Rattus norvegicus: one gene and its partners. The protein of the gene in region 1 purifies or fractionates together with the protein of each later gene. This does not show direct contact. Links are inferred from orthologs where the notes say so. Each region holds a gene or a part of one and is shown on either strand. Other genes may lie near its edges.

Region 1 (4,091 bases):
ACACACACACACACACACACACACTTTTTAAAATGTTTAACTATTTGTAAAAACTATAACTCTGGTTGGGTGTCGGATGCCTCTGCAGGTAAAGGTACCTGCTGCCAAGCCTACAAACCTGAGTTCAAGTCAAGGGACCTATGTGGTGGACAGACAACTGACTCCCTCAAGCTGTCCTCTGACTCTGCCATAAGCACATTGCCTGTCCACCCACCCCCCACATACACACACACACACAAACAAAAATGTAATAATCTTTTTTAAAAAATAGAACTTTAGACTGATGATATAACTCAGTGGTTTATGAGAAGCCATGGATCTGACCCCAAAACTGAGGGAAGGAAAGAGTCAGGAAGGGGAAAGAGAAGAGAGGGGTGAGGAAGGGAGGAAGGAGATTATGGAAGGGAGACTTTTACTTTGCTACTTTAGTAATCTGCAGACAACTTTCTTCCTGTGCTAGGACAGATGGTTCAGTGGTTAAGAGCTCTAGCAGAGGATCTCCGTTCTGTTCCCAGAACCCACACCACATGCTGTGCGCTTCTATGTAGGCAAAACACTCAAACGCATAAAATAAAAATAAACTCTTAAAAGACTGAAATCTAGACGAAAGATATTACTAGTGTCTAAACAGTAAAAATATGTTCAAAGTCGTATTTTAAGATCAGCACAGGCAGAACACATTTGTGAACACCCAGGCAGAAAACCCAGCTAGGGCAAGTGAGCAGTTCAGAAGCGGAAATTTAAACAATATATAAGAATAGGAAGGGAAGGTTTTTTTGTTTTTTGTTTTTTTTTTTTTAAAGAAAACGACTACAAAAAAATAGGACACTGTTAAAGGTTTATGTCTGGGTTACTGAAAGCATGTTACAGAATGTATCACCAAAGAAAGACAGCGCATGCATCAGTTTTGCAGAGAAGACTTTTTAAAGATTTATTTATTTTATGTACATAAGTACACTGTTGCTATCTTCAGACACACCAGAAGAGGGCATCGGATCCCATTACAGATGGTTGTGAGCCACCATGTGGTTGCTGGGAGTTGAACGCAGGACCTTTGGAAGAGGAGTCAGTGCTCTTAACCACTGAGCCATCTCTGCAGCCCCAGGGAAGACTTTTAAGTTTTATTTCTCAGACAGATTAAAGTGAGAATCATCCGGGCCTGTCAAACTTTCTTCAAACTGTTGGATTTGTTAAATGTTCAGTAATTTCTAATTTTAAGTTTCCTTCAATTTTACTTAACAGTGAAATAATCATTGGTTTTCTGGCATTGAAACCATGCATTCTTCCAAATACTACCAAGGTGAATTCATTTTTTTTTTCCAAGTTTTCCTGAAAAGGAATTTATTTACAACAATAATCACATCAAGCCTTGAACTCTAAAACTAAGTTCTCAAATTATGAAAGTCAGCAGCATAAACTATCACTCAGTGTTTAATAAAAGCAATACATTGATATGCCAACTTGTTTACATAGGATCTGTAAGGCTTGGAAAACCAAAACAAAAAATGCTTGACAGGGAGGCAAGTCTTTTCAAAGTTAATGTTCATACATACAGCTGAGACATCAACACAATGCATGCTTAAGTTATTCTAGCCAATTCCTACAGAAGCTCTTCCCAGAGAAAACATCCAATGTGAGCATGATGAAAAAAGTACTAATCAGCCAATGCATATGCTTTGACTTACTATCACGATGCGGAGAGAAGGTCTACTTAAAAACAAGACTGAAAATTATCAAACCAAACTGTCTTCTTGGACTCTCTGTTCATGTGGTGACGTCGCTAAAGGCTGAAAGCTTGCAACTGATTTCCAGGGTGCTTAAGAAATCGTTAAGGCTGATTGATCATCAAGCTATCAAAGTAACTCTTTTGAAAATGAACACTTCTTGCAAAACTTTACCCGTTTTGGGCTGAACACTGATCTCACTGCTCCCCACCCAAGATGGGGGTCAGGAAGTTTTCTTCATCTCGTTCTTTCCTAACTCCTATGGATTCTTACCTAACTAAAGGGCAGTATTGTCTTTGGGTGATTTCAGCTCCGCTCGACATTAACCAAGCGATAATGTTAAGATGATGTTACGGTCCTCAACCCTGAACAAAAAACCAGCTTCCTTCCAACCCAGCTGTTAACAGACTGAACCGAACTAGTGCGGAAACCCGTACGAAAACCAACCCAATGGGCTGTTTTTCCTGGACCTACCCCACCTCAACAGCCACCCCAGACAACCCCATCTCTCCTGCTCTGGAACGGGAGGGGGAGGGGAGGGCGCGCCCGAGGATGTCCCCCCTCACGGCTTCCTCCGGTTGGCGGCTGGAGGTGAGAGCGCCCTTCCTGCCTGCCAGCCCGCGTCCCTACCGTCCCGGCCTCGGACACACCACAGACCGCGACAGGGCTTTCTGAGAACCGCCGAGACAGCGCGCCGCACACTTGCCTGCTCGGCTCCCCGAGCAGGGCTCGTAGCTCAGGCCAGAGGCCGCGCGGGGTCACCGGGCGGCACCGCGGACACCGGAGCTCCGCCGAGCGGCCTCCCCGCCCCCTCCGCTCCGCTCCGCCGCCAGCAGACGGCGCCCCCGGGCTAACTTCGCCGGGGAAGAGGAAGCGACCAGAGACTAGCAGGCAGCGCGGACAGACTAGGAGACCGAAAGGACGGTGCGTGTGTCCGCACGCGGGCAAGGCCATCTCACCTTCCCTCCGCCGAGCCCGCGGCTCCAGTCACCTGAGGACTGCACCGGGACGCCACCGCGGCTGGCCGGATGCCGTTACCGCACGAGGCCTGTGCTGCGCCGCCGCGTAGCTCTCAGAGAGGGGCGGGGCGCGCGCAACCGGTGGGCGGACCGTTGCGGGCAGGAAACCCGCTCCACACCTAACCTAATAGGCTCCTTCGCCTCCGGCGCCCGCCCCTGATTCGTCAGAGGAATGAGCCGCTCCCTGATTGGGCGAACGGGCTTGTCACTCAAGCGCGGCGCTCACTGTTCAGTGAGCTGAGGCTGCGCAGCGTTTGGACAGGAGAAGTTGAGGTTCGCTGGGCCCCACTGCCTTTTTCTCCCCCAGCTTCCTCGGTAGCTGGTTACTCTCCGCCTCTCCAAGCCCTACTAAAACCTGTCATTATAATCGCTCATTAATGTCGAACAGTGGTCCCGAGTTCAACCCAAACTACTCTGGTTCCTGCTTCTGAAAGGGCCGACCACCTACAGATCTTAGGGACAGAGAGCGACAAAGAAAAATCAAGCCTCGGAGAAAATGTAAAATGTTTGTTAACTAAAACCACAACCAAAATAAGCTGTGTGAGGAACTTCCGAGTGCCCTGGCGCGTGGGTAGCCTTCACTCTCCGCTTCCAGTTCTGTGAAAAGCACTGTTACCTTTGCCCTTGGGTTGAGCGTGGCAGTGGCACAGCCCCAGCCACCCGCTAAGCCATTAAGAAATCGATTCTCCTTCCCAATTAGCCCTACAGCCACCAATAACCTGCCTCACTATTTCCGAACACCCTTGCTACTTAGTATAGCTGTGGCACCTAAAAGCAGCACTCTAGGTTAGGTAACTTTATTGAAACACGGGTTTTGCCTCCGGCGTAGCTGCACCCATATACCTAGATTGCAAAGTCTATTACAAGAGGAACTGTGTCAGCACCCACCCACCCTCACTCCATGCCTAGCACAACATCATCGTCAATAATCGAGGAATTAATACATCTTCCTTTCCCCTTTTATTCATTTTTATTTTTTGTGTGTTCGAGTGTTTGGTGTACATGTGTACTTGTGTATCATGTGCGTGCCTGCTACCCCTGGAGGCCAAAAGAGGATATAGGATCCGCAGAAAAAAAGTTACAGATGGTTTTGAACTACCCTGTGGGTGCTGGGAATGAAACTGGGGTCCCTTGGAAAACTGGCGCTCTTAGTCACTGAACCACCTCTCCACCCCTTCCTTCCGCTGTAATACAGGTCCTACCGGTAAGTCCTAAAAAGTTACTTCTCTGCCTTTAACCTAGTTGCATGTTAATAGATATGGTGGCCTGCCCTAGGTAAAATACAAATTACCTGTAGCGCCTTCTTATCCTGAGTAAGAAAAGTAGGTGGTAAAGCTGGGCAGAGGAT
Region 2 (3,500 bases), on another chromosome or scaffold:
TGCAGCCAGCATGTAAGTCTGTGAGAGTTACAGTGAGCATGCAGAGCCAGGAGAGCTCAAGTGCTGCTCTCTCGAGCTGTTAACAGACAGGTTCCCTGTAGCCGGCGTGGGGTCAGTTACTGAACAACATGCCATCTTTCTGCACAGACAAACCACAGAAACCTGACCAGGGCAGCGCTGCCAGGCGCACATGGTCCTGGATGACGTCACTGCTCAGTGTGCACAGAACCACTTCAGCGGCTGGTCCCTCTCAAAGCTACCAAAACGCCACAAATCAGAGAAACTACAAAATTTTATGGTGAGTCACCTGGGCCTACCTGACTCTCATTAACATAATTACTGACAAAATGGGGGGGTCCCTTATTACCCTGCTGTTCTTTAACTGGCATTGTAACAAAAGGCTACAGTGCTCTTACAGGGCTACTCAAAACACTGTAAGTACCAAGCAAAGAGACCTGGGTAGCCAGTGGCCCTAGCAGTGGACAGGGGTCCTCAGCACTCTGAGGGGTGGCGGCTACATGGAGGCTTGCTGGGGAAGGTGGTCTCTTGCTCGCAGGTCCCTTCCTTCTTTTTACCCTTGCTACAGACAGACTGAGTTGGAATATGAAGGGTCAGCCTCCGACTCTCAGGCCCTCCCAGTCTTCCACAGGAGGAAACCAGCCTGCTCTCTGTGCACATGAAAACATTTTTCTTTTTACACAATGTCCCTTTGGGAACAGGGACCATGTCACTTAAGTCTTTTATACCCTTTAGCGGCCTTTCTTAAAGGTGGGTGCCAGGGAGGCCACTGAAGTGTGAGTCCCACACCAGCAGAAGGGTCTGGCCTACTACTTCAAGTGGAGAGCTGTAAGCCTGTAGCCATCTCCCCTCTGTTCTGTGAGCACACCAGGACAACTGAGCCTGGCCGGGACTTGTTTGATATGATGGCGCTAACATAAAGTAAGTCAGCAGTTAAAAAAAAGCCGTGACACTTTTGTGCTGACCCAAATACACTTTAAATTTAATAACTGGGTGGACTGCCCTATCACATGTGACCAGTAGCTAGCTAAAGTTTCATTTGCTTAAGGAGACAGTGCGCTTAGAACGTGCGCTCTACATGATCTGTGAGCTGGTTAAATAGGTGAGAAGAGGCAGTGTGGAGGCACACAGTGTGGAGGCGCACAGTGTGGAGGCACACAGTGTGGAGGCGCACAGTGTGGAAGCCGGCCAGCTTTCTCCAGGTCAGAGGTGCATGGCTGCACGTGCCTGCTGCTGTGAGAAACCAGGAGCAAAGCGCTGCTTCATGCAGGACAGGGGGCTGTTAGCAAGGGCCGGGGCACAAGGGCCAGCTCCCAAGCACAAAGCACCAAGGAGCACTGCCCCTCCTCCAGGGCAAACCGGTCAGAGTGTACTTAACCCTTCGGGTGCTTTCGTCCCTGGACCAGGAAAGTGTGGAGGGGAAGGAAGGCAGAGACGAAGAGGAGGTCACAAGTGCACTCCTCCCAATCTGGAAGTGGAGAAAGAAACAAGCTTGGGAAAACATAAAACAAACACGTCCCCACTTCCCACCCTACAGCTCACACAGTCCCACGCACACACGCAGGAGCTCAGTGACAGCCCTGGCACAGTAATCTCTAATGAGGCAAGAGCCTGCTGGAAACCACTTTGCACTTAGGAGGCCACTTGTCCTTAAGGAAAAGATACCACAGCCGTCTCGCTACACTTGGCATGGCTTCAAACTGGCAGCACACACTGTTAATGCCTGCAATGACGCTTGCTCTCCCGTCGAGAAGGAAACACCACATAGTGCTATGGATGACTCTGAATTGGGGCATACGATCACCCCAGTCCTCAGGACAGACGGGGCAGCACAACCACAGCCGCACTTTCTCTAGGATCACATACACTGCTTACGCTGCCAGGGAGGTCGCCTTCATTTACGTTCAGTTATATAAAAGTCAGGTTCCTTTTCACTCAGTTCAGTGGCCAATAGACCAGGTCAATGGTTGGTCTTCAAGCGTTAAACCCAAATAAAGAGAGGCTGTGACTCCTGGGTGCACACAGTGCTGCAGTTTTACCATGCTAAAGTCTCGCAAAATCAGAACTGGTTACTTCCTGAGAGCTTAGCATGTACTTCACAGTGCCCTAGACTCTTAGTCAAGTGCTCTATGTACTTGCAAGAAACCAGTTTGACACTGCAAAGGGTGACACCACACTCTGAAGGAAGAACTATGAAGGGCAGTTTATGCCTGGAGCACGCTGTGGAGACAGACATCTTCACAGTAAGTCAGTCCAGAAGACAGAGGAGTTCAATGTTTGAAAACCTGGCATCCCCATGTGCACCACGGTGTCGTCGAGAGCCTGCCACAGAGCAGCCTTAGGAACCGAGGCTTGTGAGCGGATGATGCTTGTGAGCGACGTCCACCATCAGTTATTTACACATTCCCTTCTTTGTTTGTTAATGATATTTTGGAGATAAGATCTGATGTGGTCCAGACAATCCTCCTGCTTCAGCTTCCTGAGTGTGCTGGTTTAATGCTTGCTTACCCTGCATCTTTAGGAGATAACCAAGCCATACTACTAGCCTATGCTGAGGTCCGTAACCAGGATGCCGAAGCCAAGACTGTCTCAGCTCCATGTATCCAGTCACAGGCCCAAAAGAGCACCCTGGGGCCCAAGAGTTCCAGTTCATACAGGGGGCATGTCTCTGCCTACCTGGTTGTTTTTCAAAAGATTATTTTATGGATGATGTTCTGCCTGCTTGTATGTGTGCCATGTACATGCAGAGCCCTGGAGGCCAGAGGAAATGTCAAATCCCCTAAAGCTGGAGTCACAGCTGGTTGGGAGTGGGCTGTGTGCCTCGTGGGTGCTGGGACCTTAACCCAAGTCCTCAGCAAGAGCAGCCAGTGTGCTTAAGCCCCGAGCCACGTCTCCAGCCCCAACCTCTGCCTTTATGAAGACAGACATTTCTGTTAGTAACCTTTACAATTGGCTTTCGTTTGTAGAACCTAGGAAGGAAGCATTACAGAAAAAATGCCAACAGAGGTTGTCTCAAGCCCTGTGTGACCAGATGCACCTGCAGACATCCGTTCAGCACACACAGGGGCCCTCTCAGCGCCCAGAGATCTGCAGGGGCAGAAGAGGGAGAACAGTCACACTGCACAGCAGAATGGACATACACTGGTGCTACTTACATGAGTGGGGAAGGGCTGAAGTCTTGTCCGGCTTTCTTCAGGGTGGTTGGCTTCTCCCATTGGGAGGTATGGTTTCTGGCCTGATCCAGTCTCATACATGGACATGGGTCTACTGCCCCGGGCTGATGGCCGGCGCTTCAGGGAGGAGTGGCTCACAGTGTCTTTGTGGTCAGAGGCAGTCTGGACCTGACAGGCACTGGCTGTGGCCTGTCTCCTGAGGCTTGAGTTCTCACTCTGTAGAGTTTGAAGCTGAAAGAAATGTTTGGCAGTGGGTCTCTGTTTTTGCACAGCAGGCAGACAAAGCAAACGTCAAATATTCCAACATAA
Region 3 (4,133 bases), on another chromosome or scaffold:
CCGTGCCTGCAGCTCCTAGCTTTGCAGTTCTGACTGGCAGCTTTTCCCAACGTTGAGGGTGTCTCCCAACCCTCTGGACTGGAGCAAGAGACACGCTCACCAGGGACACGCCCAGCCTCCAGGAAGTGTCAGAGAGCGCTCTGACCTAACGGCACACAGTAATACTCTTGTCACAAGGCGATTCTTGTGACACCAGATTCCTCCAGAACACGGAATCCACGCAATGGCCCACATCCTAACTGCAGTTGTTATTCCAACTTGATGGACCCTTAAATACTCCCACAAGATTTCAACAGTAAGGGGTTAGGGATTTAGCTCAGTGGTGGAGCGCTTGCCTAGCAAGCGCAAGGCCCTGGGTTCTGTCCCCAGCTTCAAAAAAAAAAAAAAAAAGATTTCAACAGTATTTTCCTGCATTGAACACATGAGGATTTTCAAACCTAAAAAGCCAAGATACACACACACAGGGAGAGCGTCTCAAGGAAGATGGAGCAACACATTGGTGAGATAGGAAAATAAGGAGTTTAATAATTGGAGGGGGCAGCACACACACTGCAGCAGTCACACCGGTGCGGTCTGCCAGCACCGGCTCCTGCAGTGTCGCAGGGAAGGAGGGGTTGGCATGAGGTGCACAGGGAGCGTGGGCAACAACTGGGAGGGAAGAGTGGAGCTTCAGAGGCTGCACGCAGCAGCATGGTTCAGAACGGAAAGTGCTTCACTAGAGGACAGGAAATGGCTTAATCCCCCTCATCCCTCACAGAGCGCGGAGGAGTTGGAGTTGGTGAGAGGCACCCTGTGCTGTGGGTGTCAGAGCTCCACCGCAGAGATGCAGGAGGAGAACGGGGTGTGTGCCAGCTTTAAAAAGGACTGCTCCGGGTGCAGATTCTCGCTCCCTGAGAGCCTGGAAGACACTGGATCTCAGAAGGACAGGGTGGCGTGCTGACACAACGCTACCACCCTGTCCAGGGTAGGGATACTCATGGAAGTCTCCAAGCGAATCATTAAGGCAGGTCTGTAAAAACTGTCCTTGGGGCCTGCACAGCCACCTCGGCGGGGTGAGGACCGCGTCAGAGATGGTCTTCGCTTGCTCTTGGCGGAGGAGCTGTCCAGCAACCCCAGGCACCAGTCGCCAGCAGTGGAGTTGCAAGGAGCGTTGTTCCTGAGGTGAGGTCCACTGTGACAGCGAACACACTGTCCTCTGCTGTAGTGTCTTTTGGGTCGGAGAGTGCTTGGGAAGCAGGGCTTACCAAAGAGAAAGAACACCTCAGCTTTTCTCACCCGGCACAGACTGGGCTGGTAAAATGCTAACAGGAGCGGGAGGCTCTGGTGGATCCTGACAGACGCTGCACCCAGCCAGAGTGTGGAGGAAGGAGAGCACAAAGGGCCTCCACACACCCACTCAGAAACCTGCACGGAGGACGAGCGGCCAGGAGCTGGGTCACAACCTAGGCTATGCTGAGGCCCCAGCCACACTGCTCCTCAGTGTTTAAAGACAAACACCTTTCTATGGGGAAGTATCTCTGACTTCAAAACAACCTCTTTGGAGAAAGGAAGGGGACAGCTAAGCTCCTGAGGTCACTGTCACTGTTGCCAAATCAAGGGCAAGCCTGGCCCAACAGAAGCAGGGCCTCTTGGAAGCCACCAGCCTTCCAGGGCCCATCTGGGCCTGGGGAGGCAGCAAGGGAGGGCGGGGGCACAGCACTGAGGCTCTCCGCGCTGCTCCAGTGCGGTGTGTATTGCTTTAGTCTTGCTCAGGGTTAAGAGGGCTCTCAGTGGCCTGGACAACGCTGGCTGCAGCCAAAGGCAGAGCAGAGGTTGTGGATGAAAACGGCCTGCAGCCAAACCCTGCCCGGCAGCACCGGCTAAAGAATATGGAATAAATAACACAACTATGTACAGGGCCAAGATACACCAGGCTAGCCCACTACTCCACACTGTGACCCAGGGCCCAGGCAGGACAGCGCAGCAGAGGCGGGCACCAGTCTCACCCTCCTAGAACCCATGGTGCCCTGGGTACTGCCGTAGCTCGGGACTGGAATACTGCAGTTAAAAGAGACACACAAATCCACTGTGCCTGAGTGCCTGCTCCTGATGGCACCAAGGAGCCTACACTGCACACGAGTCAGATGCTGCCCGGGCATCCCTTCACCTCTCTGCTTCCAACACTTTAGGAACACAACTTCAGATCCCTGTGGCCAGAAAGGCTGAGAAGGAAATCCTAGCAAGAGGGTTAGCCTAGTCACCTCTCAGGTACATGTTCATTCAGATCTCAGTATTTACAAGGAGTACACAGGTAAGCTATTTATAGATTCAACTCAAGTCCCAAAGCCGAGGACTCTGGTCAGTCACTGCAGGGAGAGGTGTACAGCGAGGTGCTCACTCAGCCCAGGCCTCGGTGTCTAGAACTCACATGTAGCTACTTCAGCAACAGCTCATCACTGCTGCTTGCCTTTTGAAGACCACCTCCTTAGTCCTGAATGTCACTGTGCTGGGGACCAAGGGCCCCAGCCTTGTCCAGGAGCTGCTGGTCTTCAGCCTATGAGAATGAAGTCAGCCTATAGATTGGTCTCATCCCAAGCAGGGTCGTTCATGTTCTTTAGAACCTTCCTCACCAGCTTCTCTAGGTCCTTGCGGGCCCTCTGTTCCTCCTCTAAGGATTTCTTCATCTTCTTGTTATCCTGTAAGGCAAGCAGACGAAAGCAGGCTCACTACCTCAGCACCCACGGCATCCCTCATCCTAGCTCAATCCTTAGGTCGCTAGGTTGGGGGGGGCGGGCTGGCCAACGAAACTGAACCGTGAATGTACTCTGAAGAGTAACGGCCATCTCCCACTTACACGCATGAAGACAACTTGATAAAACTGCCTGCCAGAAGGAAGGGGCTGGTAACAGTGTCAGGACAATGTTACTGTTACCATTTTTAATTCCTATCCAGCCAAAAGCAGAGCAGAAGCCCCAGCAACTGAATGAAGCAGGTCAGGAAGGAAGGACAGCACGCTGCCCCAAACGTGGGGAAGGACAGACAGGCACTGCCAAGTGTGTCCAGTTACCCCACCCTCAGGACATCGCTGCCCTGTCCCTCCAAAGCGCCTGCACTCCCACCAGCGTTGAACATACACATCACACAGTGGTTCAAGCAGTGAAGATGCTTGCAGGGCAAGTCTGACATCCTGAGTTTGATTCCAGAACCCACATAGAGTGAAGAGAACCAACTCCACATGTGCTATGCCACATGCTCCACCCATGTCATACATACAAAGGAATAAAGCACAACTTAAAGTTAGGCAAAAGACTGTCACACACATAGCTGGCTAGGTACCACAGTGGACAGCATCCTACATCACTCCAGCAAACCCAAAAGGCAGCAGTCGATACCCCAGGATTGGGGTGATAAGCTGCCCTGTGGATGTCAGCTGAGCTTGGACCTCACCCGCTGTACCGTCTCTGCAGCCCTCGCCCGTCACTGCTCGGAAAGGCAGTGGACTTTGTGGTTCCGTTTAGTACACAAAGAGTTCCGTGTTAAACAGTTCCCCTTTTCTCCTATTAAAACCAACTGATTAAAAGTAAAAACTGGTTGGCATACCTGTCGTAACTCTTGGACTTCATCCTTTAGTGCGTACACGGTATCCACGAGGCTCCTGGAACAGGAGAGTGAGTAAGCACACGAAAAAAGACAAAGGGGCAAAGACTGGCCGGGACCAGGGCCACCTCGGGCAGCAGAGAGCCCAAGCTCTGCCTACTGAGTCCCCTTGTCTAAATCTGTAACTTCAGAGAGGAGCCCACCTGGGTACCTCAGGCTAACCCCAAGCCTAGACGTCACCCATGGGATGGACTGGGGGCGTGGGGGGGGAGCCATAATGGAACAGAAAGCCATCTTACTTTTCCTCTATCACTGTCTGCCCGTTGCTTTTGGTTTCTTCGACTATAATTTTCTCTTCTTCTGGAAGCAACACTTGTGGAGCAGACTCTTTGCGTGAACCTGGGTCATTAAGAAGAGAAGTCCCATGTGAGTGCCACTGAGGAACAAGAAAGGGCACCTATGTCACTACACACCACTTACACAGCACCAGTGACTACAGTAAAGTTTCTGACCGCTTTCCCCCAGCTGTCTGCCTGTCGGGTGTGGCCAACCAAGAC

What was found. Proteins that work in one complex are often made in the same cells at the same time.
Region 2: the proteins of Nck1 (region 1) and Git2 purify together in Homo sapiens (co-immunoprecipitation; 3 studies listed by BioGRID and IntAct, with this or other methods). This does not show direct contact. The link is inferred for Rattus norvegicus from reciprocal best matches to the Homo sapiens genes NCK1 and GIT2.
Region 3: the proteins of Nck1 (region 1) and Arhgef7 purify together in Homo sapiens (co-immunoprecipitation; 3 studies listed by BioGRID and IntAct, with this or other methods). This does not show direct contact. The link is inferred for Rattus norvegicus from reciprocal best matches to the Homo sapiens genes NCK1 and ARHGEF7.

What each region holds. Positions count from the first base shown.
Region 1 is NC_086026.1:109,955,448-109,959,538, forward strand, and holds the start of Nck1 (cytoplasmic protein NCK1), read right to left. Parts: upstream 2,801-4,091; 5' UTR 2,684-2,800; intron 2,641-2,683; exon of another isoform or gene 1,686-2,640; intron 1-1,685. UniProt on the Homo sapiens protein: Adapter protein which associates with tyrosine-phosphorylated growth factor receptors, such as KDR and PDGFRB, or their cellular substrates. Maintains low levels of EIF2S1 phosphorylation by promoting its dephosphorylation by PP1.
Region 2 is NC_086030.1:47,521,405-47,524,904, reverse strand, and holds part of Git2 (ARF GTPase-activating protein GIT2), read right to left. Parts: intron 3,423-3,500; coding exon 3,174-3,422; intron 1,487-3,173; coding exon 1,397-1,486; intron 1-1,396. UniProt on the Homo sapiens protein: GTPase-activating protein for ADP ribosylation factor family members, including ARF1.
Region 3 is NC_086034.1:84,372,627-84,376,759, forward strand, and holds the end of Arhgef7 (rho guanine nucleotide exchange factor 7), read right to left. Parts: intron 3,976-4,133; coding exon 3,876-3,975; intron 3,635-3,875; coding exon 3,580-3,634; intron 2,676-3,579; coding exon 2,553-2,675; 3' UTR 501-2,552; downstream 1-500. UniProt on the Homo sapiens protein: Acts as a RAC1 guanine nucleotide exchange factor (GEF) and can induce membrane ruffling. Functions in cell migration, attachment and cell spreading. Promotes targeting of RAC1 to focal adhesions. May function as a positive regulator of apoptosis.